4 linked regions of the Struthio camelus genome follow. The protein of the gene in region 3 binds, or shares a complex with, the protein of the main gene of each other region. Links are inferred from orthologs where the notes say so. Each region holds a gene or a part of one and is shown on either strand. Other genes may lie near its edges. The genes, in order: DDX6, CNOT2, CNOT1 and NANOS1.

Region 1 (7,327 bases), on a different chromosome or scaffold from region 3:
AATGAGCTCCAAGCATAGAGAGACCTATTTGATGTGACGATTAGTATCTAGCTTGATCATCCTTGTTTTAAAGTGTTGTAAGTTGATTTTTAAGGTAAAGTTTGAGAAGTCTATGGTTCCTTTGATCTGTAACAAAGAAGCCCCAAAGGACGCGTTAGCTGCTCCCTGCAAACATTGAGGGCTCTTGGCAACTGCCTTGCTAGGGGCCTAAGGCCGGAACAACCTGGCAGGGTTTGGAGAGCACTGTGCTGAGGGACGGTCTTACTAGAAATCTCCCTGGGTTGGGGCGACTTTCTGGAGCTATGCAAGATGTTCAAGATGCCTGAGGAAACGCAGAAGTCTGGTCTGTGGGACCGTTGCCCTCTGCCTCTGGGTCATACAATCTGCTTTAACCTCAGTGACCTGCAGCTGTTTTTCTTCTCCTTCTCCCACTGCTTCAGCCCTCACCTTCATTCAGGCTGGCTTGCAGTGGTTTGCGCTGGAAAGCGCTGCCTCAGCGGCTGCTCCACAAGTCCAGAGAATGACATTAGTGAGCAGAGGCTTGTCTAGCGCTACAACAGAAACAAATGATCTGCTGTATGATGTAAAGAAAAGCCCATAATTTTGCCCATAATAAAGGTAACCTCTCCGCTCTGGGAAATGAGTGTTTCATCCCAGGACTGTCGTAGCAGCAAATTCATGGTGTGCAAACCTCAGGTGAGGTGAGCAGCACAGAGTGACATTGTGGCCTGGGCTGCTTTTGGCAGGGGCCTTTATCTTTGTGAGGAGACAAAATGGTTTGATGTGTAGGGTGCCTGCCCTCTTCTTGTCTGAGCGCAGCTGCACTGAAGGCGCTGTACTGGAAAGGAGTCTGATGGGACTCAGATCAGAGAGGAAGGAGAAGTTACTCTGGTGAGCACCATTTGATTTTATTTGCTCTTGATGCCTCTTAGCGGTGAACCGGTGACCCTGGCCTGATGGACAATCACCTTGAGGCAGCCATGAGCAGAGACACGGCTGCCTTGAGGGTGGTGCCATCCTTCCTTCCCCCCATCACTGAGGAAATTCCTCGTGCACCGGCCTGCGCTCTCGGGGGCAGCCCTCAGGTGCCCTTTTTTACACTGGAGCGAGAGGATGACAAGCAGCGAGGTAGAGGGAGGCCATCTGGGAGGTCGCGCTGTGCCTCGCATGCCCTGCTTGGTGGGTGGAGTAAAGACCAAGAGGGCGCCCTGCTGCAGCAAGCCTCACTCTGTGTGGCTCACGTGTCCCAAGGTGCTGAGCTGCCAGTGCTGAGGGACGAGGACCGAAGTGTGGTACCTCTGTGTTGAGGAGACAGAGAGATTAAGGAGGATGTTTTCCCTCAACTAGAAACGGAGGGTGGAGCACTCTCCATCACTGACTTCCTTTAAGGGCTCACACAGACGGTGGTGCTTGTTCCCAGAGGACCGTACCTGCAGCAGGGTGCACTTATGACCAGCTCTGCCCATGAGGCCTCTGTTCTTGCGACCTCGAACAAATTTTACCCCCTCCCCCCCGCCCAGCTGCCCCCTGAGCAAAGTGGAAGCGAAGGGCGAAGTAAAGTACTGTGAGTTCATAGGTGAAAGTGGTACCGCAGAACTTACTCTGTTGCAAGGATAGCACGCAGGATGTACCTGCAGTCAATTGGAGGAAATGCTACAGGGAACTGTAGGCTGGAAACGACCCCCAAGCCATGTGCTTGGCCCTTAGACCAGTGGTGGAAATGAAAAGAGTTCATCCCAAAGCGATAGGCACAAGTGATTTAAATTGCAAACCCACAATACCCTGAGTAGATGATTGCTGCCATACCGATGTGACCTAGAGGATCTCTGCGTTGCTGAATTGTGAAATGTAGGAAACGTGATATGAAAGAAAGGAGCGTGGAAGAAAAATAAGTGTAGAAAAAAGAAACTCAGATTTAAAATAATGTCACTTCAGAGGATGCCAGCAGGTGGGTAGCCTATTACGGAAGAAAATCTTACCAAAGTGCAAAGACAAGTATTTGAGGAATGCTTTGGTGTCCGTACATGGGAACTCCCGGCTGAACTCTGATGCAGGAACATTCTCTCACTACAGAACCATTCTTGTATTATCACTAACATAAAATTATGTTAACTTGTATAAGGTATTCCGATAATATTGAATTATTCAGATTTATATAAGGAGGATAAAATGCACCACTTGAACATAATTGCCCTACTGTGCATAACTGACAAACATTTCTACTGACTGGTTTGACATTATATTGGCTTCCTAAGCTATGCTTGAGAAACCCAGCTCACTTCTCACTGCTGAATCTTCTCACTTCCAATGTTTTCAAGTCATCCTGTTTGCTGTTATCCTAACTAAGCAAACCATGTGCTGCCCACAGATGTTACTCGTATTTGCTAATCTGGTATTTATGTTGTCATTTATTCTTTCTCCTAAGGTTACTGCATACTATGTCCTGTAAATCTCATTGTGAAGTAAGATGCTTAGCCCTACCGACAGTTAAAATGAAACACTGCTCTCTCCACAGCAGGGTCTGAGAACCAAGCAGGCACTGGAGAAGTCAGTACTGGTCCTGTACAGAACGGACTGTACAGTCCCTGATGCTGTGAACGGCTTCACAAAGACAGTCCCAGCTAGTACCTCTGCAATAATTAGGCCGAAAGGCAGCCAGCTGGCACAGTAAGAAAGAAGTGAGGTACAACTTTTTCATGCCCCTGGCATCTGAAAGGTTCGACAACTGTCTTTCTCTCTTGTGCTGCTTGGAACAGAAGGCACATTAATACTGTGCTTCAATTCTTCAAAATCCTTGTACTGATAATAGATATATTGAAAGGAAATAACTATCTCAAACGTGTAATATTAGGTGATTCTAGCTCCTGCATGCTGTGGGTCAGTCTCCTATCCTTAATGTTTTGCTCATGTTAACTCTGTTATAATAACTACACAGTGAAGTCATGTTCAGTTTCCAGGCTTTTTATTAGGAAATACATTTTTTTGGTAGCTCTGATATTAGGTCTGAGATAGATTCTGCTTCTTAGCCAGAGAAGTCATCAAGGCTGGTGGTTTCTGTTTTCGGTGTTATGTTTTCCCCTCCTCCCTATTTTAGGGATATGTAAATAGGCAAAAATACTTATGTAGCTTCAGGTGCAAGTGCATCTTCATCGCCAATGCAATACATGTATTTGCATTGTGTATGTGTGTTTCTCTGTTGTCCACCCCACCCTCCAATGCCTTTAGACTTTTTGGAAATTTAATATCTCTGGAAGTGTCCCAGGACTGAATTAATATTTTGTGTTTGTTAGTGAAAAGAACAGGCAAAAAGGCAGGATGGCTCAAGAGAAATGAGGATGTGGAAATGGAAATTGCCACATCTGAGGGGGAAGCAAAATGCAGATCGCTCCAAGTGTACACGGACAGTGACTGTATAATCTCCATCCCAGAACACTAAAAGAACTGGAGCATGAAATTGCAGGTCTAGCAGCAATGATCTGTGCGTATCTCTCAGTGCAGGAGCGCTGCCATGTCAGTCGAGAATAACAAATGAGAAGGGAGGGAACGTGATCCGGTCCACGGCAGACCTGTCTCTCTGATCTAAATAACGCGCAGGGCTCAGCGCGTGTTTTGCACATCAGAGGGCCTGGAACTGAATGAACGCAGTATAAAATGCGACCCACGCTTAGCAAAGGTAGATCGTAACACGCTCGCCTCCTACTTCCTTTTTCTTGCAAGGCAGATGGCTTCGCAGATAACGGCAGCGCAGTGAATCAGGTCTCTCTGGATGTCGGCCGAACCGCGGATACAGAGCCATAGGGAAAGTTCCTAGTTCAGGATGGTAAAGCAGGTGCAGAGCTCACTAAAGGAGAGGAAAACGGGGGGCGGCAAGAGGTGCTGAAAGAAGGAAGCTAGGGATGGAGTCGCGAAGGAAGGAGTTTTGAGCTCAGCCCGGCTTTGGACCTTCTTCATAAGGAGTGAAAGCCGGGGGCCGTCCCTGGAGGAGAACAGGGCGCAGCTCCTTCGGGAGGAGCTGGGCGCCTCTGCGAGCCGCAGCAGCGCCGGCCGCGCGGACCGCCGGGCCGAGAGCTGCTGCCCAGCGCGGCGGGCGGGCAGCGGGAGGCAGCCAAGGGGGGGCCGGGGCCGGGGCCGCGAGGGCCGAAGGGAAGGCGGCGGTGCCCAGGAGGCACCCCCAGCGCCAGCCGCAACGGCAGGCCGGGGCCCCGCCCCCTCGCCCCGGCCCCGCCCCGCGCTGACGCACGGCAGGGGCGGGGCGCGGCGCGGCGCGGCGCGTGCCTGCGTGCGTGCGTCCGCGCGTGCGGGGCGGGGCGGGGCCTGGCCTGCCCTGCCGGGAGGGGGAGGGCGCACGGGAGGAAGGAGGAAGCCGCCATCTTGGAGCGTCGAGTCGCCATAACAAGGCACCAAGGGGGAGCGAGAGGATTTTATACCTGAGCGAGGGGGGAGCGCGGCTGGTGGCGGTGAGGACGGGCCAGGGCGCCGGGGCGGGCGCGGGGCCGCGGGGAGCGCAATGGAGGCCGCCGCCGCCCGGCCGAGCCTCGCGGCCTGCGCCGCGTCGCGGGAGCGGCGGGGCCTGGCCCGGGCCTGGCGGCGCTGAGGGGCCGCGGGCCGGGCGGCTGCGGCCGGGGCGGTGCGGGAGGCGGCGGCGGCGCGGCGGCGGCCGCGGCGCTCGCTGCCGGCCCGAGCGGCGGGGCCGCGGGCGAGCGGGCGCTTCTCCATTGTTCGCGGGCGGGAGGTGCCGGTATGGCGCAGCTGCGTTGCGCGGGCGGCGCGGCCCCGCCGCCGGGCCCGGGGCGACGCCGCGCTGCGGCCTGGCCCGGGGTGGCGGCAACAATGGGCGCCGCGGGGGTTCCCGCGGCGGGGCCGGCTGGGCGGCCGCTTTGTGCCGCCCGGCTGGGCCGCGGAGCGGTGTGTCGTATCTGCTGCCGGCGGAGGAGGGAGCGGCCGGGGGGCGGCTGCCGCGCCTGCCTACGTGGGCTGCCTCGGCAGGGGAAGCCCGGGGTGCGGGGGCCTCTTTGCGGTCGGACCGCCAGTTTGTGAAATGGTGGCGCTGCTTGTTTTGGACGTGGAGGTGTGCCGGGCCTGGGGAGGTTGTGTGCTGCCTTTCAAAGGATGAGCACGAACGAGGGAGGCTAGAGGACTAGAACTCCCTTTAATAAAAACATTGGAGGAACTCTTGTTGGTGTATCCGGAGTTTTTAGGTGACTCGTCCGTTTGGGTGTGAAAGTAAGGTTAAGGGGGGCTGTCTTTTCAAAGAAGATGTTTAAACCGTGCTTCTAGCCAGGAAACTAACTAGGAAATAATCTTAATTCTAATAAGCTTGAAGTTATGCTATGAAGCTATAATCAATACGCTGGGAAACAGCTGAACAATTCGAGAAGAGTTTGAATTCCGTTTCTATCTGCTTTCCTAAGTATAGTATTTATGTCACTTTAAACTTCAGATGCCAGTATCTGTTTTAAATCTGTGTTTTAGTCGCTGAGGAGTATGCATTTTTTTGGACGTTGAACTTGGCAATCATCAGCCTGCTGGTTTTCCCTTTGTATTGTCCCAAGATGCAGATGCTTTGCAATGAGAAATGTTACCTGCAAGCCTACTTTCTGTTCCTCTAAAAAAGTTTTAGACTAGGGAGTGTCTTGGCTCCCTATTACCATCATAAGAAGAGTTTTTCAACTCTGGCCATGTACGTGCTATATGTAAGATACAAGCTTTATATTATCTGCATATGTTTTTGTCGACTCTTTTGTTAAGTATGACGTCACTGTCAAGTTACGCATTCGAATGTTATCTTTTGAGCGCGGTATGGATTGTTAGTGACAGCTGGAATGTAACGTCATGCAGCACACAAGCAGGAAGCTGCGTACCTAGTGTACATGTGTTTATTCATTGCTTCAGACTAGAGATGAAAGAACAGTTTAGGTGCAGTCATTTAGACTTAACAAAGCAGGAAGCTGCTGTCAGTTCAGCTTGATGATGTCATAAGTTTTGCTCTTCTGAATGATTTATAAATGTTTAAGTTGGGTATTGGTTTAAAGTAAGCTGACTAAACTAATTTTTGGGGGTGGATGAGGGAAAACTTCCAAGTCACTCCTGTAGTTGGTTGGGTTTTTAAGATGGTATGTCATCATTCCTATTTCTAGTTGAAAGGACAAGTCAGAGTATCTTAAGGGTCTTTTGAATTCTGCCTATAATGTCCATTCGATATTGTGGTCTTACTTTCTGTCATAAACTTCTGTGTGATGTTGTTGCTTAGTGTTTTATGGCTGCTCTGCTGTGTCCCAAAGGTGGGTGCATTTCAAGGATAGGCAAAGCAGCTGATATAATTCATGCCTACTTTACAAGGGGGCTAGGTAGTATTTTTCAAGTGATTAATCCCAGGAAGGCTGCTGAAAGTTCACAAAATGATCTCCGGTGACCTACAGTGTTGCACTCAGCTTTATAGCAAGGGAAAACAGTTTGGTGTGTTTGGGGTACTTAAACCGAGGAAATAGAAAAGCAGGTACTTTGTGTTGCATGCTGCCTGAGAAGAAGTGATTTTTAGGTAATGCATGTTATTGCAGGCAGTTTTACAATATAAACAGATGCAAATTCCATAGGCAAGAAATCCACATATTAATTGTTGTCATCTGCTTCTTTTTCAGATTGAAGCAAGTGAATTTGGATATAACTCAACTTTGTTAGAGGGCTTTTTTTAAAAAAAAAAAAGTTGATCCACAGTGCATCAGAGCAAGTTACTGCTTTACTTTTGAGTGACTTACAGGTGCTTGCCTGCATTGCAATAAAGGACTCATATATTGAGCAAGACTTATTTATCTCTTCATTTTGGAGAGTCTAATAAACTGTTATTACAGTTTCTGTACTGACTTTCAAAGTTTTGAAGTCTAAAAAGACATCTTTAAAAATAAAAACATGAGCACGGCCAGAACAGAGAACCCTGTTATAATGGGTCTATCCAGTCAGAATGGGCAGTTGAGAGGCCCTGTTAAACCCAGCGGGGGCCCAGGAGGTGGAGGCACACAGACTCAGCAACAGATGAACCAGCTGAAAAATGCCAACACAATCAATAACGGCACTCAACAGCAAGCACAGAGTATGACCACCACTATTAAGTAAGTATTCATGTAAATACTAAATAACGTTAGCTGACGTAAAAATAACATTTAAATTTCATGCATGGGAAAGTGTAATTGGTTTCTTGTATTTAAAAAGTTTTTTATTCTATTGTTTTATGATATTGGTGACAGAGGTGTCCTGTGACATGCATTTAAAAAAAGAAAGGATTTTCAGGTGTGAGCGTCTCTCTGACAGTGGTCTTTAGTAATTTAGTAGT
Region 2 (7,535 bases), on a different chromosome or scaffold from region 3:
TCCAATGAGAAACAGAGCTTCTCACCAGGCAACTCTCCAGTGACCACCAACAAAACCACCACTGCCTACAATCTTGAGAACTGATATACTAAGGGTTCCCCTGTCATCACTCCTGTAATTTCAGTCTCTCCAGGGATAGTCTCGCTTGGGAACGTCAGTCAGCACCTTCTCCTTGTGTTTCCCTAATATTTCCTTTCCTTTGGAAAACATATTTCTGTCTGTAGCACTGTCCTTCTCTTTGTCTTAAGAATTACAGCAAACTGCTGCCATCTCTATTTCTTGATTTATCCCTTAATTTAGTCACACTCTTTGGCTGACCTCTTAGTTGTTATACAGTAGGTGCGAAGCATCTTATATTTGGAAAATCTTACATTTTATCTTCTGTTTTGGGTCATATTATTCTACAGAATTGGCAGATTTCTTTTTAATCCTGGTATTCTTTTCCTGATGCTCTGATATAATTAACACTAATTCATACACTGAAGGGACTACGGCAGAATGCTGAGATAGGGTTTCCTGACAGTAAAAATATATCTGAGACTATACTATATATCCGAGACTGAATATATCTGAGACAGAAGACACCTCCCCTCCTGTTCCCAGTATTCCCTCCTGGAAACTACAAATCCAGCAGATGAGAGGCCATCTGTGTGGATACCTTGTACTGCATTTTAACAGTAAAACACTAATGGAGCTGCACTTCCAGGGTTTCCCTTGCCAGTAGCCATCCCTGGAAATCCCCTGTAGGAGTGAAAGGATAGATGAGGACAGTGCCATGGAAACAGTTGAGCCTTTCCTTACCTTATCTAAATAAACTAGAAACTGCAGACTAACTTGCAAAAGTCAGCCTAACTATGCAAATCCTCCTCCCAAATCAAAGTATTTAGCGCTCCACTTCAGTGGAATAAATAAGAACTACGAGACACTACAGTGAGAAAATGAGGGGCCTTATTGTCTGCGCTCTTGAAAAAACAAACTCATCTTTGTGGTGAGATCTTGAATAACAGATTTGGCATAACATATGCTTTGACTTATCTTTATCCTGTGTTTTAGAAATATTCTAAAATCAAATAGGCTGTATTTATGAAAAAATCTACGTTCTTCTGAGGCAAAGATCAGTGCATAATAGTCAACAGGTGAGCACCCTACAGTCGTGCTCCAAAGACAGCAAATGGACAGTTTTGAAAATCATGCAGCAAGAAAGGTATCTGTGAGAAGCTGCTGCTCCCAGTTCACGGCGGGTCTTACACAGTTCCAAATTCTGTAGAAACCAGAAACCTCTGCCTTTTTTGGAGGCAACATTTTACTGTTTTAGCTAATCAAAGGCAGCTTGCAACTGAGGGGCAAAATCTTCTGGCTCCATCTGAGTTTCTTCTAATGCACTAACGTCAATTTGTGGAAGAGAAATATGGCCTATTTCATCACCATTGAAAAGCTGCTAATCCTTGCTCTAGGCAATTGCACTATTTGTTTTTCTTAAGGAATACTGAGGCAATCTATAGGTTGAAGAAGGAAAGACCCTTGTTGCTCTCCAATGCACTTCTTTGTTCTAATTAAAATGAATTACAAGACCAGCTATTCATCAGATTCTGCCTCCACTCATGATCTAGGATGGTGGTCTTATTATCAGGAATTTAATTTTACATTTTGGCAAGGTAGATGGAACTTCCTAACCGTGCGTGCCTCATATATACTCTGGGCAATTTGTCTTCCTCCTGCTTCTGCGACTGCGTAGTCCACATCTCTCAGTGCCACTTTGAATGGAGCCAGCTAGCATACAGAGGCTTTCTGGAGCAGGTACTAAGAAAAACTGCACAGAATTTCCAGTGATCTCACAGAGTCGCGATAACAAAGCATTTAGGGCTTCTGAGCACATCCCTCCCTCTTGTTGCCACCTTCCCAAGTTTTTTCAGGCTGCCAGTGCTCCACCCAACTGCTGTAGGCTTTTAGCTCTCTGTGGGTATCAGCATAAGCAACAGTCAGTTGGGAATACTAATGGCTAGATGAGTTTCATGGCTGCATCAAAATATGCACATTAAGGCCCCAGCCTTTCATGTAGAAAACTATGCTTTTGACTTCATCAGAACCCCATTAATACTTGACTGCATGGGCCTGCACATGCAATGAGCTGCAAGACAGGTTTTCTGTAGCTGCTGCCATCACACATTGTTCCTTCATCTGTGCTGCTGTATACAGGTTTGCAATAGGTAGTCTAACATTGATGAAAAAATTGATGCTTATCAGCCTAGTTGGTGAAATAAGTCCAAAAAAAAAAAAAAGGGAGACCTTTAATTAAATGGAATTGAAAATAAAAAATGCGTATTGGTTTGCAGACAAAGATTTGCCCAAGGAGGTCAAACTGAATATACAAGGGTCAGGTTCAAAATGGATTAGGAGCGTCCACACACAATTAGTAGCCATTTAATTAAATGAGCTCAGAACACCTCTTCAATTATGCAGGTGCCACTACGCAAAACAGGCCTCACCATTGTAGAAAAATGTATTCAGCCAATAGTAAAAGTAGCAAATGTAGGCAACACATTCCTCACAACTCAGTCTATTTATCAACCTGAGATTATTTTCAACCACTAAAATGCTAACAACTTTCACTTTCTTTAAGAAAACAAATGAGGAAGTCACATAAACACATAGTATAGTCACAGTGACAGCGTTCCACAACGAAACACACAATTTCACGGAGAAAGGCAGGTTAGATTTTTTAACTGACAGAATTTAAATCACAATTTACACAGGTTGCGATTGCTGCTTACGCTATCATATTAGGCTAAGACAATGAAAACACACTTTTTTGCATTCCCTGGCTCTGTTGAACTATATAGCCTTGCATGAATGTTAACTGACCTGCATGTGAACTGTAACTTGGTAATGGATACAGAGATCAGTCCACGCAGATGCAACGAAAACATCAGATGTTTAGTTTACTTGCATCATATTGTACTGGACATTGTAAAGTCTTAAATGATGTCTCTCTTTTGGGGAACAGAATGAAATTTAGAAAAAGAAACTCAGTTGAAGCATAAAAAGAAACATAATGGAGTAAAACTTTTACAAAAGGGATGTGCAATGGTCAGCAAGGCAGTAAGAAAAGCTTATTAAATAAGAGCAAGGATTAATGAGATTCATTATTGTCTTCAGTTTGAAAGCATAGCCTTACTGTCTGTAACGTGATATGAAGAAATATTTTTTAGATTGAACAACAAAAGTACTCCCAAATCTCATAGATATTCTAGTTAAAACAGGATGTCACTTCTGGGCTTTTATAATGGTTAGTTTATAGCAAATATACAGGTATTTGAGATACAAAGGAAAGGTTCCAAAATAAGGATAATAAAATAGAATATTTTCCTGGGTGAAGTGTATGAATATTTATTTCAATGACATGACACCTTGTAACTGTGCTCAGCAAAAAGTTGATGGCATTAATGAACCAGTTTCCTAGCTTGCAGAATGTGTTCTTTCAGCTTCAAAAATTGCTTATGTTGACAGATGTATTACTGTAGATATTAACATTTCTTTAAAACGTAGGTGTTGTGTAACCTACTGAACATACATATTTTTTTAAGTTCTGTTTGGAGACATTCATTATGAAGGTACCTGAGTGATGAAGAAAGCATGCCTATGAAGAGACTGGGGAAAAAAAAAAAACAAACCCTGTTCCTGATAAAGTATGTTCATTTTTTGGTTTGAATTTTCAAACTTTATGACGATTTCATAATGAAATTAATGCGGAAGGTTCCACTAACAGCTTTTCTTGATGGGGCAGAGAAGTCAGCTCACAACCGTAAAACACTCATGTACGGGCTTAGCTTCAGCACCGTTTACAGTCCCACTGAATTCAGGGGGATTATTTGCATTGGGAGTGTTTCGGGCATCCGCACGTGCCCTACTCGTAGCACCGACACACATACTTTCAGGGTGATAAATTAAAAAAAAAGAAAACAAAAGGACAAAATAACAGAGCAGTCCCATCTGGGCAACTTTTTTTCCCCATTTTAATATCTGGCCAAGCGCACAGGAGGGCCTGGCTGCCCGCCGCTACCTCAGCCACAGAAAAAAACCCCACCAGCTTGAGCAAAATTGGGCCCATCGGGAGGGCCGCTCCCGTCCTCGGCCCCCCTAGGCCGAGCCCCACGGCCCCGAGCCACGGCGCGGCCGGGGAGCGGGGGGGGGGGGGGGGGGGCAGCCGGCGGCCGCCCCGCACGGTCCCCCGCGGCGCCGCCATGTCCCCAGCGGCACGGGGCGGCCTTCACAAAATGGGGGCCGGCGGGGCGCCGCGGCCTACTGCCCGCCGCGGGGCCCGGCGGCGGCGGCGGCGCGGTCCCAGCCGCTGGGCCGCGTCTCCCCCGGGAGGCGGAGGGAAGCGCCGCCGCCGCGTCTCTGCCTCCTCCTCCTCCTCCTCCTCCTCCTCCTGCTGCTGCCCCCGCCCGCCGCGGCCCCCGGCCGCACCCCGCGGGGCCGCCCCGCGCCGCCTCTCCCCGCCCCTCGCGCGCGTTGCCAGGCCGGGCGGCGGCGGCGGCGGCGGCGGGGTCACGGCGGCGGCGGCGGCCGGGTCAGAGGGTAAAGGTTGCTCCCCCAGCATCCTCCGAGTTGGGATACTCAGCCATCTTGGATTCGCGGGACAAGAAAATTCATGCGGTGAGTCCGGCCCGTTTCTGCCTTTCCCTCGGCCCCCTCGCCGCGCCGCCCGCCCGCCGCCGCCGCCGCCTGGCCCCCCGCCGCCGCCGCCGCCCGCTCGCCCGCCCGCGCCGGGGCCCCGCGGCTCCGCCGCCCGCGCCGGGGCCGCGCAGGCCCGCGGCCGCCCCGCCGGGTTTCCGTTTGCTTTTGTCTCCGAGGGGGAGCGGGGGGGACGCGCGGCGCCCGCCGAGGCAGCGCAGCCCGCCGGCCCGGCTCGGCCCGGCCCGCCGCCGCCGCTGCCGCTCGGGGCCCGCCGAGGCCGCGGCTCGGCAGCGGCGGCGGCGGCGTCCGGGCCCCGCGTACCGCCGGGCCCCGCGTCTCCTGCGGCCGGCACCGCGGCCCGGGACGGCTCCCGGCCGCCGGCAGAGCCCCTCGGCCCGGCCCGGGCCTAGCCGCGGCCGCCGGCGCCCCGCCGAGCCCGCCCCGGCGTTGCGGTGCCCCCGGCGCCGCCTCCGCCGCCCCCGGCCGCGGCGCTGCGGGCGCCCACGGGCCGCGCTGCCGGGGCGCCGCTGCCGGGCGGCGCCGCTCGCCGGAGTGGCCTTGCGGCCTGCTCCCTCGGTGCCCCGGGGAGGCCCCGGCTGAGGAAAGGGGGTGAGGCGGGGATACTTCTTCCTTGTTTTCTTTCAAAAAATGTGCTTTTTAAAAAAAATTTTGTATACATTTTTATAAATATATATATATATATATTTGTGCGTGCACCCGTTTCACTCTCCTCCTGGCGGCGGTTAAGGCGATGTGTAAGGAGGCTCCGGTGTTTCCTCAACCGTGTCTGTAAAACAAACTTGGAGCGAACTGGTCCGCTGTGCCGAGCGCGGATGCTGCCGTGCTGTGCGCGGTGGTGCCTCGGTCCGGGCGCCCTGGCGTGAACCTGGCCCGGGGGCAGCGCGCAGGAGCGGCGGGCTGCGGTGGGAGAGCCCCGTTGGCGGGGAGGAGTGCGAGGCGCAGTGTTTACCCTGTCGTATATGTGTGTGCGTGTGTGTGCGCGCTTCTGACTGGAACTCTGATTTGCTTGCAAATATCACGGGTTTAGAATTTATGTTTTTTAATCACGTTACAGGTAGCTTTGTTTCAGGGAGGGTTGTAACATGACAAAACGACAACCTGCTTGTGTTGGTTGTGGCTCAGCAGCTTCCGCTTTCTCACAAGGCTGTGTTGGGAAAAACTCGTTTCTGACTTTGCGCTATTTTATCCCTATGGGAAGATGGAAACTTTATATGTGCGTATGTGTGTGCAGCTTGAGCGTGTGAAGGAAGCACTTGCGTTGGCCTGCGCAGCAGTAACATCTGGTGCTGGTGACTGGCCACTGGACTTAACTCCAGCTGGGGGGAAGCAGTTTAAGATGATCAAACCTGCTGTCACATCAGTTAGGAAAAATCTTTTTATTTCTGGAAACTGGGGTATTTTTCAAACTCCTAAAACGTGCAAAGGCCTGTAAAAGCAAGATAATTTTGTAGGTTCACATTGCAAAGATATCTTTACTTGGACCTAGAAGAACTGCTGTGTGTACATTGGTGTTCTTCAAGTTCTTTCATAATCGCATGTTAATAGAACACAGCTTGCAAAATCCAGTTTTGTGATCTTAAAGACTATGTATGTGTCCAGTACCTTTTTTTATTTTTTTTACTGCCACTATTGTTTATGCTGAGAATTCAGCTGACATGATAAACTTGAAGGTGTCAACTGCTTCAGATCTTAGGAAGGGATTTGAATACTTCATATCGTGAGCTGAGTGACTTGACTTGCAAGTGTATTTCCGTTTCACTTTCAGGAAGCTGATGATAAAGCTAAGAGAGCTTTAGTAGATAAACCTTGTCTACACGTCTCTTCTAGAAAGTTAATATTGTTGTCAAAGGAGCTGTTGTTAGAACTGATGCATGCACGGGTAGCCCCAGTAACAACTAATGAAAGCAAAAGCCCTTGGCTAAGAACTAAAAACAAAAATCCTAGAATTTGTGAAATTTAACTTGTATTTTCTTTAAATGAGTCTAATTTTAGATGATTGGTACTCAGTGGAAGAAATGGGGTAGTTAACATGTCCAAGTTTGATACTAAAAACTGGTGCCACAACTAGCTGTTTACACCTGAAAGTGTTGGTCTTTACCTTTGCCCGTTAATGAAAGTTGTGTATACCTGTAATGGAATGGTAGCTCTGATAAAGTGTTTGTGTTGTATTTGCCGAATTTCTAAATGAATTTCTGTCTAGACAGGAATTAGTTTTGAAATTAGAAAATTCGTTGCTTTTGTAGCCTCTACTGTGTTTTTATTTTTTAATTTATTTCTTGTGTTGGTGCAAGGGCCTGTCTTTTCTGAAGTTGCAAGATTGTAACTTCATTATAGTTTAAAAACAACCTTGGATCATAGCTCTATATATTTAAAAACATCTCGTACCTCCTTGTTATTATTGACTCAAGAGGTGCATGTAACTAAAAATACACCGTAATTTAGTTAAAATAGAGGTTTCTTGCACACCACTTTCTGACTTGATCTAGAAACTGTAGAGAAACATTCAATAGCTTTTGTTTTGTTATGAGGTAGTATAGAAAATGCAGCTCAGCTTCTGAGTGCAAATTTTTAACTTTTTTCAGATTTTTTCTGCTTGTAAAGCTATAGCATACTTGAATACAGATTTTAAAAGGCACTGTAAAGGATGTATTCTTAAAAAAAACTCAAATCATTGGCAAAATACTTGTCATATTTGTTGTGTTTATTTCTAAACGTTAGCTTAGAAGGGCTCTATGCCAGTTTGTATAGAGGTACAGTACCATATTCAGTCAAAAAACTTTTTGTCACAAATTTAGATGTTTGCTCTCTAAATGATAAAGGATAGTCTGTTCCTTTAT
Region 3 (7,429 bases):
GGGAGCCTCTATATGATCTGTTTTAGCTGGAATAAGGTGGCCAACACGCTCTACTTGGAATCGCTGGACAATGTTGGCTACTCCTACTCCTCTGCCAGTGCTCAGTCCATCAAAGACAACCACATGAGCCGAATGTCTATGAGGGAGCTGGGGGCTACCCCGAGTCTGGCGGCGCTGCCTCCAGCGAGGCTGGTGGTTGGGGATGCTGTGAACAGGGCAGCCAGGATGGAGACCAGCCTCAGCAGCACATCAGATATCCTCCATTCCCCCTGGTGAGATGGTCTGCCCCCACAGCCAGCCATGGAGGCTAGATGAAGCCAGTCATGAAGGCCACATTGGTGGCCTTCGAGGTGGCAGGGAGCAATTACCAGGTGCTCCTCATCTTCTTTGCCAAGTTCCCCAGCTTCATCAGCAATGATTTCTATGTTTTTGGTGAGAGCTACACAGGGGGGTCTACATCCCCATGCTCAGTGCCAAGATCGCTCATGGATCAGCATCTATCAACTTTAAGGTATGGTTAGAGGGGGTGACTGACTGTGCAGCCCAGGCGGTGCAGCTGAATGCTGCTTTCTGCCCCAGCTCGGTGCAGGAAGGTGTCCCGGGGGCTGAGGCAGGGGTGGGCAGCTCCCCACATGCCTGGTGCTCCCACAGGGCTGAATGTGGTGCTAGGATAGCACAGAAATGGGGTGGGATTTGGGGCCACAGAGGGGAAGGACGTTTTGTGGTCCCTCTTGGATTACACATGCTTGGTAGAGCAGGGCTCTGCTGGTAGGAGGTGGCACATGTTGTCCCTTATGTTTTATGTCCCCACCACATGGGATTAGACCTTGCGTCCATGCAGACCCTCAGGGAGCTACTCATACCGGGGGGTTGGATCCTTCTCAAGGCAATAGGGAACCCACCCAGGATATTATCAGTTCTCTGAGCACTGGGATGGACATACCTGCTGTGGCCTGGACGTAGCTCATGCTGCCTGCACGGCCCATCATGAAGAGGGGAGCATGCGGGGCTCTCCCTCCATGGGAACGACTCTCCTCCTCTTCCTCCTGCAGGGCTTCGGCATCAGCAATGGCATGAGCAGCTACAGTCTCAACGACCTGATGCTGATGGAGTTCTCCTGCTACCTCAGGATCATGGGGGATGAGTGAGTGGGGGAGAGCAGGACCTATCTCATCCATGGGCCACGGCTTAGCTGCCTGGGACCTGTGCAAGGAAGAGGCAAACAGCAGGTGCTGCAAATGGGGGAGAGCTGGGGGGAAAGGGAGAGCAAAGAATCCAGCTGTCTCCGGGTGCGTGGGGGACACAGGGCATGGGAGGAGGCATGTATGTGCCTCGCTGGGGCCCTTATGATGGAAATGCTCATCTCCGGTAGCGGTGGTGTGGCGTGTTCCTCCTCCACCATGTCCCATCTGGGGGTATCACCTCTCCCGCCTCTGCCCGCAGGTGTGAGCTTCGCTCAGCCAACACTGCCGTGCCAGTGGTGTCTGCAACTTCTTCAACAGCAATTAGAAGAGTGCCTGCATGGCCACGGTGAGCGGCGGGCTCTGCTCGGGGGTGCTCGGGGCACAGGAGGGGATGGGGCGGCTCAGTGTACGGCACGTCCCCTGACACCCACCTTGTGCAGAGTCCCTAGTGGCTCTGATGCATGCAGAGCCCTGACAGGGGGCTTCTCCCTGCCATGGGCTAAGCCCGGCCCTTCCCTCACGCTCTCCCAGATAAAGGAGGTGTACGGGATCATCTGTGGCATTGACCTCAACATTTACGATCTCTACGCCCCCTGCTATGGGGGGGGGGGGGGGCCGCTACCAGCAACGCTCCACGGCCAACTTCTCCAGCGTTTTGCACCGGGACCGTTTTAATGTCGAGGGGCTGCTGAGTAATCCCAGGCTGGGAACATGTCACTGCCAGCCTTGCACTCAGATTTATGCCAGCTGTGAACAGGCACCACTGCAGCTCTGCTGGGCCTGCCGTTAGCAGGCGGGGCGCGGGATTGCCCCTCCTGCCTCTGCGGAGGCCCTTGCCAGGCTTGGCGGTGCTGGGCAGGGAGCAGCACAGCCTGTCTGAGCCCCGACGCCCTTGTGACACTTGCAGGCAGGCAGGGGTGCTCTGCAAAGCCGGGGCATTGGGAGGGGGGGCCAGCTGCCTCTTCCTGGTAGGAACAGTTTGGGGTGCAAAAAGATAAAAAGAGGAGGAAGGAAGAATCTGTTGGAGCAAAGCGCTTTGCAGAGGAGAGCGGGATCGCCCCTCTGGTCCTTCTGCCTCATCCTCTTCCTCACACCCTTGTGCCCTGGAGAACGCCCACCACCAGGTCCTGGGGATGCCTGGGGACAGGCTGGCAGTCTGGATCTCAGGGTCCGGAGCCCAAGGTCCTCCTCCGGGGACGCAAAACAGGTGCCACAGGGGCTGAGGCATGGAGAGGAGGCAAGAAGGGAGCAAGCATAGTGCAAGCCCTGAAAGCAGAAATTCAGGGGATTAGAGAGAGAGAGAGAGAGGGGGGGGGGGGGCTCTGGGAGCAGGAAGGTCCAGAGGTGAAAAGCAGCCCTGAGGTCATTGCTGCAGCAGGTGCCTCTTCGTGCGGTCTGCTCCGTGTGCTCGTCGCCAGAAAGCCAGCTCCGTCCCTGGCGTGCCGGCCTGCCTCGACGCTGCGGCCATACACGTTGAGCTGAACTGTGTCGATGTCCAGGCAGCTCTGCACGTCACCCGCCACCTGCCCACCTGGGAGCTGTGCGGGTGAGGCGGCCGCCGCAGACTCCCACCACAGCTGCATTCGAAGGCCACTCTCTGGCTCTGCCAGCCCTGGTACTGCAGCGACTGGGTTGCTGGCTTCTCCCAAGAGTAGAAGAGAGCAACGTGAAGGTAGGTGCTGTCCCTGCGCGCAGGGCTGCCCCAGGGCCGGGAGGGGTGCTGGCCTGGCACCGCCCTGCGCCCTGATGGCACCTGTCGTTTCCCACCTGTGCGGGGTTTGGGGCACACGGTGCAACATGTCTGGCCTGGCCGGCTGCTGAAGATGTGCAAGAGTCTCCTGTCCAAGACCTCGCACGTGTGAGTGCCCTGCACTGCCTGCTGTGGGGTCAGGCCAGCTGCTTTGGGCACCCCGCCACCGCACGCTGCGGGGCAGGGGTTCAGCTCACCTGTCTGTGTATATGTACATAGGAATAAATGTGTTGAGTGGGCAAATGGAGCAGTGGTTTTGGCAGGGATGCCATGGGGGAAAGGCAGGGCAGCCCACCTCCCTTTCCCATGCAGGACAGGGCAGGGCCCAGCACAGCTGAGGTCTCTGGGGCAGGTTGGCACAAAATGGCCTCCGTGCGCACCCCTGGGAGGGAGCCTGGGCCACTGCACTGTGCGGGGGTGGGGGGTGCAAGTGCATGGAGCTGAGTTGCTGCACTGCGGGGAGTGCAGTGGGGGAATGCAGTGCATGTGGTGGGGGGAGTGCAGGGGGCCATACCACTGCACTGTGGGGGACATGCTGCAGTGTGTGGGGCTGTTGCACTGCCAGCCAAGGGGGAGTGCTGCAGTGTGCAGGGTCATGCCACCCAATTGCAAGGGGGATGCAGCGTTTAGGCCCCATACCAGTGGATTGCGAGGGGGGGGGTGCAGTGTGTGGGGCTGCAGCACTGGACTGTGTGGGTGTGGGGGAAGGCAGTGTGTGGGGCCCTATCAGCACAATGCAAGGGGGAGCTGCAGTGCATGTTGCTGAGGGGGAATGCAGCATGCGCGGCCGTACCACTACACTGTGGGGGGGGGCAGTCCAATGCTTGGGGCTGTACCACAGTCTTGAGGGGGGTGCTGCAGTGCTCTGCATGGAGGGTCTGGACCACAGCGGGCAGCGGGTGGGCCGTACCACTGCGTGTGCTCGCGGGGAGGGAAGCCGTCCCGGCGGCCGGCCCCGGCGAGGCGGGCTGCGTGGGTCCCCAGGCGCCCCCCACGCAGGCGGGTGGGCCCTTCCGGGGTGGCCGACACTAGTGCGGGGGGCGGGCGGGCGGAGGCGGTGCTCCCCCCCATGACTCCGCGCGCCCTTTGGCGCTCCCCTTCCACTTCCCCTTCCTGCCCCGCCCCCAGCGGAGCGCCCTGCGCTCATTGGACGGCCTTTCGAGCCTTCTCCTCCCCTTGCGAGCGCTGATTGGCAGCTTATTGCGCATGCTTCGGTCAGGATGCCTTCCGGCTCTGATTGGCCAAAGCTGTAGGAAGGACGCCTCCTCCTTTCGGCCAATCGGCGCTTGGCGCTTACTCCGCGCGGAAGGCCGGGGAGGGGGGAAGATGGGTGAACGTCCCCAAGAGGTCGCGCCGTGCTGATTGGGTAGACCGAGCGCGGCGACGCGCTCTGATTGGGTGAGCCCCTGGCGAGGGGGCGGGAGGCTAAGTGGCTGCTCCTCTCCCTCCACGCCTTCCCTCCCCCCCCCCGCTGCCGTGCCGCGAGGGGACGGGGGAGGGGAAAGGCCGCGACGTGAGCGCGCGACCCCGTCCGCCATTTTGTAGCGAAACCAGCGGAGGCGAGAGGATAAAAGCGCGAGCTGCCCCAGCCCCCCGCCTTGCTCCGGCCCTGACCCACCGCTTGAGGTGAGAGGTGCCCGCTGCGGCTGGCCTCGCTTCGGCCCGCGCCCCGGCAGTCCCAGTAGGCGGCGGGTGGGGGTGGGGTGGTGGTCGGAGCACCGGAGCCTCCGGCGCGAAGGGGGGCGGTGTCGGCGGTGACCCCCCCCCGCCTCTTCCCCCCCCCCCCCCAAGGGGGACTGGTGGGCCGTGGTGTGGGCCGCGGCGAGGCCAGGCCCCGGCGGCGGTGGGAGCAGGGTAGGAGGCGGCGGGGCCGGCAGGGGGAGCCCGCGGGGCCCGTCGTTTCCGGGGTGCGCGTGGTGCTGCCGCTGGGGCGCCCGAGGCCTGGCCTGCCCCGCTCCCTGCCCGCCACTGTCCCGGTCCTCGCGTCCCCGTTGCTGCCCTTGCCATTTCTCGAGCCGGCGTCCCGCTGAAGGAAGCAAAAGGCGAACAAACTTTCAAGGGTCTCACTTCCAAGGGTTTCGCCTCACTGTCGGCTTGGGCCGTGCATGGTGGTGATAACTGATGGGAGCCGCGAGTGTTTTCAGGTCCGCGGGATGCTGCTTGCGGTTCTCGGCGCAGGAAGAAAAGCTCCACGAACAGACTGCGTTTTGATCGCTTCGAGATGACAGCGAAGTCTTCAGCCATTTATTTTGTCTTTGTTTCTGTCTACTTTCTACTTCTGTAGAGTTGATCGTGAAAGGCGAAGCTGTGAGAAATTTGAAAAGGAGCAGGCGCTGGGCCTACCCATGAGTTAGATTTGGTGACCTCCTTAGAAGATCTGTGTTGTTGTGACTTGCCCAGTGAAAAAAAAGTAATGCGTAAACAGTGGAATATAGTAGTACAATCTGGTAGTATATCCTTGCTGCAGACTACACGGAAGAGATGCATCTCAGCACTGTCATCTCGTTAAGGGCACCCTGCATAGTAGCATAGACTTGCTTATTTGAAAACTAGGATTATCAACAGTTGGCTGTTTTGACAGATACTATTTTTTTAGAAATAGGTCCTTTGCAGTAGTTGTCTTACTCTGAGTTAGTGTTACATCCTCTGTATGGATTAAGGTTAGTGGTCAGTCACGATTTAATTTCAGCAGACCACAAATATTTTCTTAGGTTGTACTTCAAACAGAAATGAGATAATATGGAAAGTTTTTGTGTGTAAATATAATGAATAGGGACTCTTAGCCTCTCACTGTGTCACAAGTTTAGACAGTGTCTGTTTCTGAGTCTGACTTTTTAGAAGGAAGTACAACATATACTCCCTGTGCATCTTGGCTTCCTTTTTTTTTTTTTTTTTTTTTTTAAGCAGGTAACAAAACAGGTATGACATTTGACAAGTCATTCTTGAGGCATGTAACTTAAATGCTTCCTATTTCTAAGGTAACTGCGTTGTCATTGACTAAAACTACAGGTAGAGCTAGTCCAGATGAGGTAACTGTGTTGTAAGCAGGAAACAAAGTTAGCAGGTAATACATAGATGTGCTTGTCCCTTCTAGAATAGTTATTTCCTTGGTTCTTTTGTCCTTATGCTTATAAGTAGGCTTTTAACTACTGATCCCATTGTCCTGATATCCCTAAACCAAACTCTTAGTAAACTTGGTGTCTGCCTATCTCCCCTCTTTGGAGAAGGACCTAATCCTTTCTATTCTTCTGGCATAGTGTTCCGAGATACATAATACTTTTTTTTTTTTAATTGATGCTGAAATGGTTACTTTTGGTATTCAAGGCAATACTGAATAAGGTGGAACAGAGACTGTGCAGCTATTAATGAGCAAAAGTGGATAGTGAAGCTTTGTGACCCTGTGATTGGTCATCAATAAATAGTGGGAGAATTGTACCACTGAGAATCATCGTTGAAGTCAGATCTCTGTTTTGTTTCATAACCCTGGCTACTCTTACAAATAGTGCAGTTCTCATTTACTTCTTTGTTATAACACTTAACTGTTCTAAAACATTTTTTGGATGGAAAAAGCAGTCTACTGCCTTTGAGAATGGGTCCTTAATTTATCTAAAATGGAAACTTTATGCTGCAGTGCCTAACTGAAGGGAAAGGAGGATGTGAAAGTTTCTTGGATTTTTTTTTTTTTTTTAGTGTAAAATGTCCTTGTTGAGATGTGAAAATACCTTGTTGAGATGTGTAAAGTTGCCATGTCATGATGTATGCCTGATGTGTTTGAGGTAGGTTCTGCACCTGAAACTTAACTGGCCTTAACTCAGGAGCATAAGCATGTGTGCTTAGTTCAGCTGTTATCTCCAAATTAGTTACCATGTTTAATCAGCATCAGTGACTTCCAGTTGATTGGAGCTGTGTGTAGTTACACAGTAAACAGAATATTCAGGTGGTTCCTCTATGTGTAAATACCTAAATTTGAACAAGTGGAATTCAGCTGTAGCTTACTGTACTATTAATGTGACCAATGCTGTAAGGTTTTCCTTTGCGTAGTTTTCATAATGACTGCCTGTAATCTAACTTAACTGTAATGTGGTTTGAAACCTTCCCCCTCCTCCCTTTAGGAGTATTTCTAACATGGGTCTCTTGAAGCGTGCAGTTCTTTCATATTTTCTATTTGTGCATGGATTTTGCAGAAATGAGTAAGAGACTTATTCTGAAGAGCAGGTTAGTGGTGTTGCTCATAGTATATTTTAGAAGATGTTTTTTGACAGGAACTTATAACTTTACCAGTGAGCCTGATGCTCTTTCAGTCACTTGAGCTGTTTTACCCTCTGCATGGAATACACATGGCCTTAAATCTGTACAGCTCTTGAAACCCAATGGGAGTAAGTTATTTAGCTTTGCAAAATATTAACAAACCAAAGGCTAACTTAAAGAAGTTTTTAAAATGATTTTCTTTGTAAGGCTGTTTCTGAATATGTATAGAGGACTTCAGATTTGTTCA
Region 4 (5,643 bases), on a different chromosome or scaffold from region 3:
TCCTAATGTATCTCTGCAATGAACCCCTAATCTCCTCTCTGAACTTGACAGCTGTCCTGCATGCACTCCAAAACCCCTGTATTTCAATCCTTCTATCATTCTAGCTAAAGGATTTGTTAGATCATTTTTTCTTTAACATGAAGTCTTTCTTCCAGCACCTCCCTGGCCTGTTATTGGTGTGCGTGAGAGAGTGGCACCATTTTGCTTTGGCCCTGCAAGGCTTCCTGGACCCCAGGGACACCTCACCTGCGGCGTGCTGCCTAAACCACCCTCTCGCCACGGCACTAAAAGGTGGCATTTAATCCTCGGGCATGGTCTGGGGACTCCGAACAACACAGTTGCAACGCAGGGGAGCGGGGTGGCACCGCATACCGGTGGCCACCACCGCTGCTCCGTGGCACTGCGTGGAGCCGCTGCATCCTGGGAGCCCTCCCGCTCACACCGTGCCGCAGCCCGGCTGCCGGGCCTGGGCTCCTTCTGCCCCGAGGGCCAGCCAGCGCGGGCACTGCACACCACCGCACCACATCCCTGGGCTCTGCTGCCAGCGCAGCCCAGTCGGAAGCGACCTGGGCAGGGCAAGGCCACCCTTGACAAACTCCAGCACCCAGCGGGAGCCCCGCTATCAACCTTCCCGTGCAGGTGATTCATGCCCGGCTTTCCGCGCTCACAGCTGCTTCAGTCCGTGACGCGGTTTCTCACGGCTCGGAGGGACTGCAGAAAACTTTCCCCTTCACTGGGCATAATTTGGCCCCTGGTGTTGAATTCACAGTGCCAACAGCTATTTGTCACTTCCATTGCAGCCTCCAATTTTTCCAGGGTTTCTGCGCAGCCTGGCCACTAAATCTTGCACGAGACAAGGCACCAAGACAGCTATGGCCTTACACTATCAAAGACCTTACAGGGGCTGGCAAAAGGCTACTTTGGGATAGACTCAGAAATAGTCCCAGTCTCTGGCTGGAAAGTAGGCACGGAGCGCCAAGCATTGTTTTTTAATGCAGTTCTCAACATTTCTCTGCCCTGAAGCATATACCAGTTTTCCATTTGCAAAGAACACCAACATGCCAGTGATGGGGGAGGAGGTATTCCCTTCCAAGGTGCAGCTTTTTCCTCATCAGCCATTCGTGACAGTCTTGATTTTTGTTTACTCTTTGAAACGGTCTGATGAAACGGTTTCGCTAAGGCATTGATCTGTCCCAGTGTCAGCAGAGGTGTTCCCTGCTCCTGCACCAGCGCTGTAACGTGCCACCCAACAAGCGGGCGCAAGGTCAGTAGGGAGCCTGCTGACGTCCGAGAGCTCTGCAGATACCCCGTCTCCGAGGAGGCAGCCCTCGCAGCGAAAGTCTTGCTGCACACGTGGAGCGTGATTTGCAAACATGTGGACGGGGGAAGGAGCAGAGTGACTCTCGCAGTACACTCTGTATATTTACATTGACAACATATGCTAGGTCTACCAGAGCTGTCGGTGAAATAAAGGGGACTGTTCCTGCCGTGCTAATAGCAGGCGTCTATCCCTGCACAGTGTTTTTCTAGTGCAGATATTTTTCATGCTGCTCTGTGTTCTTCATCACACTCTGCATTGGCAGTGAGGGGAAGAGGACCGTGTTCCTCTTTGCCTGTGCCACTTCAGCTGCTACAGCATAAAGTGCTTTGAAATTATTCACTCTCCAAGACTCCCTCTTAGAAATGTCTAGAGAAGTAGATGAGCAAAACAATTGCCCCAGGAAATGATGCTCAAACATTTTGATTGATCTCCCTGCACTGTTTCACCCATCTGTTACTTCTTTCCCAGTGGCTCCAGCACAACTTGCAGGCGCTCACCCCTCTGGAAAATCAGGCTATCCGTTTGTGTTCAGAGAGGCAGTATCCCCAAGGCTCACTGGGCAAGCCCTGAAATGCTCCACTGAAGAGACAGAAAGCTTGTAACGTCACTACGTCTCAGAGGCTCTGCAAAGGGCTCTAAGGCCAAGCCTGATGCTACACAACTGTGAAATGTCCGTATGGTCAGCTGGTGCAGAACCACGTCTGACCACGAGGACAGCTCCAGCACTCGGCGTATAACTAGTAGAGATGCTCTAAAACGGGACCTCTTTTGCAAATGTTTGCACTACTAACACGAGCCCTGTCTTCCACCCATTGCGTTCACAATCTGAAATGTTTCCAGCCCGCTCTGTTCCCTGAAGCCAACCACACTGTTCTTTGCTGCTCGATACACCCACTTCCAGCCACTTTACACAGCTGGAGAGGTGTATAAAGGCCTGGCGGTGCAGGGAAATCGGTCCCCCAGGAGGTATTTCTGATATCTGAGTTTATGAAATCTGCCAATTTCAGCTGCAAACAAACCACATGCAAATGCTGATTTACCTGCCAGGGGAGCGCCTGTCAGACCCACAAATCAAGGCTGTGCACTGGGGAGACAGATTTACTACTGACAGAAAACTCCACCCACTTTGCTCAGCCCAGCAGCTCTTACCATGGGCTGGAAATTAATAGGATTTTTAATTGCAGCTGCATTTTTAACCCTTTTTGCCCAAAAGGAAGAGTATGCATGTAACGCTTCCCAGAGGGGGATATGATTTCCAGGGGGTGGACCAGCTGTGAATTGTCGGGGGGGGACATGTGTCTCCCTACCACCGCCCCACATCCAGCAGCCCAGAGGCCAGTTTGCAAGCACAGGCCGGAAAGGTGACATAGGCAGAGCTGGGCCAGCAAAGCCTAGGTTGATTGGGTTCCCCAGGCGGGTGCTGCGGGACGCCTGTGTCGGTCCTGCTCTCCGGGACTTCTCACACTGGTGGCGTCCGTGGGCACAGCCACGTCACACCGTGCGTTCACAGCTGTAATGTAGACCAACCTCATCCCATTTGTTTCTAGGGCTGAATCTTCCGGACCGGTTTCACGTGTGCTTCAGCCATGCCTCCTTGGAGACGTGATCCAAAACCTCCTGTTCCTTGTGAAGAGCGGTTGTGAAGAGAAGAAATAATCCTTGCCCCGTACATACTAGCACCTATGGGAAGACATCCGTTGCCCTCCATGAGCTTAACAGGTACTAATCACCTTCCAGTGTGGGGGTTTTATGTTACCAGACTTGTTTCATCCTTACATCACCCCGCTGAAGACGGAGAAGACGACGACGTGAGGCTGCGTGCGAGAGCTCGTGCTTTGCCCGCTCCGAGCTGCGCCGCTCCGGCCCAGGGCTGCGCGGAGGAGGCAGAGCAGCTGGCTCTCGGGAGCCGCCGCGGCCTCCGCTCCGGGCAGACCGCCGCTCGCCGCGCTTTGCCAGGACCGAGGCTGACACAAGCCCGTTCGGGCAACCGGACAGGACACCAGGCAGGCAGTAAGGCACCTAGCTCTCAGATCACCGCTGCCAACCCGCCTAGAGGACAAGGGCATCACTGCGGGATATTCAGACACTAGGTCAACGGATATACTCCTAAAAGAGCGACGCCGTTCCCTTGCTTTGGCTCTGGGGATGGCTGAAGAGCAGCTGGAGGTTAATGCTGCCACTGACCTCTCCCCACAGCACCACAGCGGGCGAGCGGCGGCCCGACCCCAGCACGGGCCGTCACCTTCGGGCGGGGTTTGCCGCTCCCGCGGCCAGCCTGGCTCCCGGCTGGCCGCAGCGTGCCACGGGCCGAGCTGGCCGCTCCGGACCCACCAGTGTCCCGCTCTGAGCGCCAGCGCCCACGAACCGGCCAGCCGGCTGCCTTTCCCGCAGCGCGGGCGCCGCCGGCGGCGTTGGGGGTGTAGAAACGGGGCGGGCTCGCTCGTCTCCGGCGGGGCATCGCCCGCCCCGCTCCCGGCCGCCGCCGCTCCGCCGCCGCTTCCACCGCTGCACCCAGCCGCCGCCGCCGCCGCCGCCGCCGCTCCGCCGAGCACCGAACGCGCCCCCGCCCCGCCAGCCAATGAGCGGGAGGGGGCTCGGGCCGGTGGCCAATGGGAGCGCGGCGGCTGCCCCGCCCCGCCCCGCCGCCCCCCCGCCCCTATTTGAGGCGCGGCGCGCGGCCGCGCGCTCCCAGAGGCTTCGGCGGCGGCGGCGGCGGCGGCGGCGGCGGCGGCGGCGGCGGCGGCGGCGGCGGCGGCGGCGGCGGCGGCGGCGGCGGCGGCGGCAGAAGACCCGACCCGACCCGACCGGGGCGGAGCGGACCCCCCCCCCACCGCCCCGAGGAGCGGCACCCCCCCCCCCATATGGAGGCTTTCCCCGGCGGCAAGCTGGAGCAGCACCGGCACCTGCCGGCCGTGGAGCGCCTGCCGGGCTCCCGCTACGGCGCCCGCGGCCACAGCGGCTGCGGGAACGTGTTCAACTCCTGGAACGACTACCTGGGGCTGGCCACGCTCATCACCAAGGCCGTGGGGCCCGGCAAGGGCTTCGGCGCCGAGCCCCCCTCCGTGGTGGTGGCGGCCGCCGTGCCGCCGCCCGGGGAGGAGGAGGAGGAGGATGAGGAAGAGGAGGAGGCGGCGGCGCCGTACTTCGAGGGCGCGCTGGACTTGCACGACCTGGCGCTGTGCGGGCACCACCACCACCACGGCGAGGGGCTGCTGGAGGAGCGCTTCACCGACTTCAGCCCCTTCCCCGGGCGCGGCGGCCCCGCCGCCCTGGTCTTCGGCTGCTCGGGCGAGCACCCGGGCCGGGAGGGCTCGCCGCACGCCTGGGGCGGGCTAGTGGTGGCGGGGCGGCTGCCGGCGCACCCGCGGGCCGCCTCCCGCCTGCTCAAGCCCGAGCTGCAGGTCTGCGTCTTCTGCCGGAACAACAAGGAGGCCGTGGCCCTCTACACCACGCACATCCTCAAGGGACCCGACGGGCGCGTCCTCTGCCCGGTGCTGCGGCGCTACACCTGCCCGCTCTGCGGCGCCAGCGGGGACAATGCCCACACCATCAAGTACTGCCCCCTCTCCAAAATGCAGGCGGCCAAACAGCTCAAACACGCCCGGACCGCCCTGGGCAAGAAGGTGCGCTAGGCGCGGCCGGGGACGCCGGAGGGGCGAGCGGCCGCGCAGCGGGGCCCCGCCGCCCAGGAGACCTCTTCCTGCTCTTGTCTTTTTTTTTTCCCCTTTTTTAAGATTGTCTTAAGAGCGGATTACGTTTTGTTCTTTAACACATTAATATATTAAACGCGGAGACTAGAGTGTGAGAGTCCCCGGGCTGGTGTCTTGCAGCGGATAGCTTCTAGTTTGTGCGCTTGGCGTTCAGGGAGCCCAGCGCGGAGCCTAACGCTATGTCATGGTAATTGCGCCGTTTAGATGCACTGTATTTGTTTATTGTATAAATATATATATATATATATGGTTTTTATAAGAAAATGGGTTTTACGACGAGATCTAATGGCGAGGCGTGTCGGGAGGGGGTGTTAGAAGAAGCGGTGGGCGGCGGCGGGGCCGGGGCTGCGCGGAGCCGTCCCGCGGCCGGCGGGGGGAGATGGCCCCGTCGGACCCGTCTGCCCGGGCCTCGCGGCGGGGCGGCGTCGCCCTCTGCTGCCTTCTCGCCCGGCCGCCGGGGCAGCGGCGCGCCGCCCTCACCGCTCGGCCCGGCCCCGGGCTTTGTCCTGCTCCGCTCCGGACCGGTGCGCAGCGCTGCTTCCCTCCGGCTGGTCCCTGCTTTCTTGCACAGCCTGTTCCCGCAGCGTCTGGACTGCGTGGAAAAGCTGCTGT

What was found.
Region 1: the proteins of CNOT1 (region 3) and DDX6 are in contact, whole or in part, in a crystal structure (PDB 4CRW), measured with the Homo sapiens proteins. The link is inferred for Struthio camelus from reciprocal best matches to the Homo sapiens genes CNOT1 and DDX6. Residues at the interface, in NP_057368.3 of Homo sapiens: Glu1097, Ala1100, Phe1101, Phe1103, Asn1104, Asn1105, Leu1106, Ser1107, Ser1109, Asn1110, Lys1114, Lys1137, Arg1138, Ile1141, Glu1142, Asn1144, Phe1145, Leu1148, Tyr1149; in NP_001244120.1 of Homo sapiens: Phe329, Ser330, Arg331, Leu332, Gln333, Ile334, Asn335, Gln336, Leu357, Gly358, Tyr359, Ser360, Leu384, Arg386, Asn387, Ala402.
Region 2: the proteins of CNOT1 (region 3) and CNOT2 are in contact, whole or in part, in a crystal structure (PDB 5FU7), measured with the Homo sapiens proteins. The link is inferred for Struthio camelus from reciprocal best matches to the Homo sapiens genes CNOT1 and CNOT2. Residues at the interface, in NP_057368.3 of Homo sapiens: His1864, Ser1865, Ala1866, Ala1867, Arg1870, Asp1871, Gln1917, Pro1921, Ala1923, Pro1925, Ala2003, Tyr2036, Leu2039, Glu2040, Ser2043, Arg2045, Ile2048, Ala2049, Ala2053, His2054, Leu2079, Leu2084, Lys2086, Gln2089, Ile2090, Leu2091, Tyr2092, Lys2093, Gly2094, Leu2096; in NP_001186231.1 of Homo sapiens: Met350, Val351, Asp353, Gln354, Phe355, Gly356, Met357, Ile358, Gly359, Leu360, Leu361, Phe363, Ile364, Arg365, Gly372, Met373, Val374, Leu376, Ala377, Leu378, Gly379, Ser380, Asp381, Leu382, Leu385, Leu387, Asn388, Leu389, Ser391, Glu393.
Region 4: the proteins of CNOT1 (region 3) and NANOS1 are in contact, whole or in part, in a crystal structure (PDB 4CQO), measured with the Homo sapiens proteins. The link is inferred for Struthio camelus from reciprocal best matches to the Homo sapiens genes CNOT1 and NANOS1. Residues at the interface, in NP_057368.3 of Homo sapiens: Ile2327, Ile2330, Lys2331, Trp2338, Glu2350, Phe2353, Gln2354, Val2356, Ala2357, Met2361; in NP_955631.1 of Homo sapiens: Phe40, Ser41, Ser42, Trp43, Tyr46, Leu47, Leu49, Thr51.

Annotation. Positions count from the first base shown.
Region 1 is NC_090963.1:135,028-142,354, reverse strand, and holds the start of DDX6 (probable ATP-dependent RNA helicase DDX6), read left to right. Parts: upstream 1-4,323; 5' UTR 4,324-4,457; intron 4,458-5,472; exon of another isoform or gene 5,473-5,680; intron 5,681-6,638; 5' UTR 6,639-6,906; coding exon 6,907-7,106; intron 7,107-7,327.
Region 2 is NC_090942.1:41,015,382-41,022,916, forward strand, and holds the start of CNOT2 (CCR4-NOT transcription complex subunit 2), read left to right. Parts: upstream 1-4,517; 5' UTR 4,518-4,656; intron 4,657-7,535. UniProt on the Homo sapiens protein: Component of the CCR4-NOT complex which is one of the major cellular mRNA deadenylases and is linked to various cellular processes including bulk mRNA degradation, miRNA-mediated repression, translational repression during translational initiation and general transcription regulation.
Region 3 is NC_090951.1:23,133,212-23,140,640, forward strand, and holds the start of CNOT1 (CCR4-NOT transcription complex subunit 1), read left to right. Parts: upstream 1-4,424; 5' UTR 4,425-4,560; intron 4,561-7,429.
Region 4 is NC_090948.1:7,455,867-7,461,509, reverse strand, and holds NANOS1 (nanos homolog 1), read left to right. Parts: upstream 1-4,177; 5' UTR 4,178-4,182; coding exon 4,183-4,953; 3' UTR 4,954-5,121; downstream 5,122-5,643. UniProt on the Homo sapiens protein: May act as a translational repressor which regulates translation of specific mRNAs by forming a complex with PUM2 that associates with the 3'-UTR of mRNA targets. Capable of interfering with the proadhesive and anti-invasive functions of E-cadherin.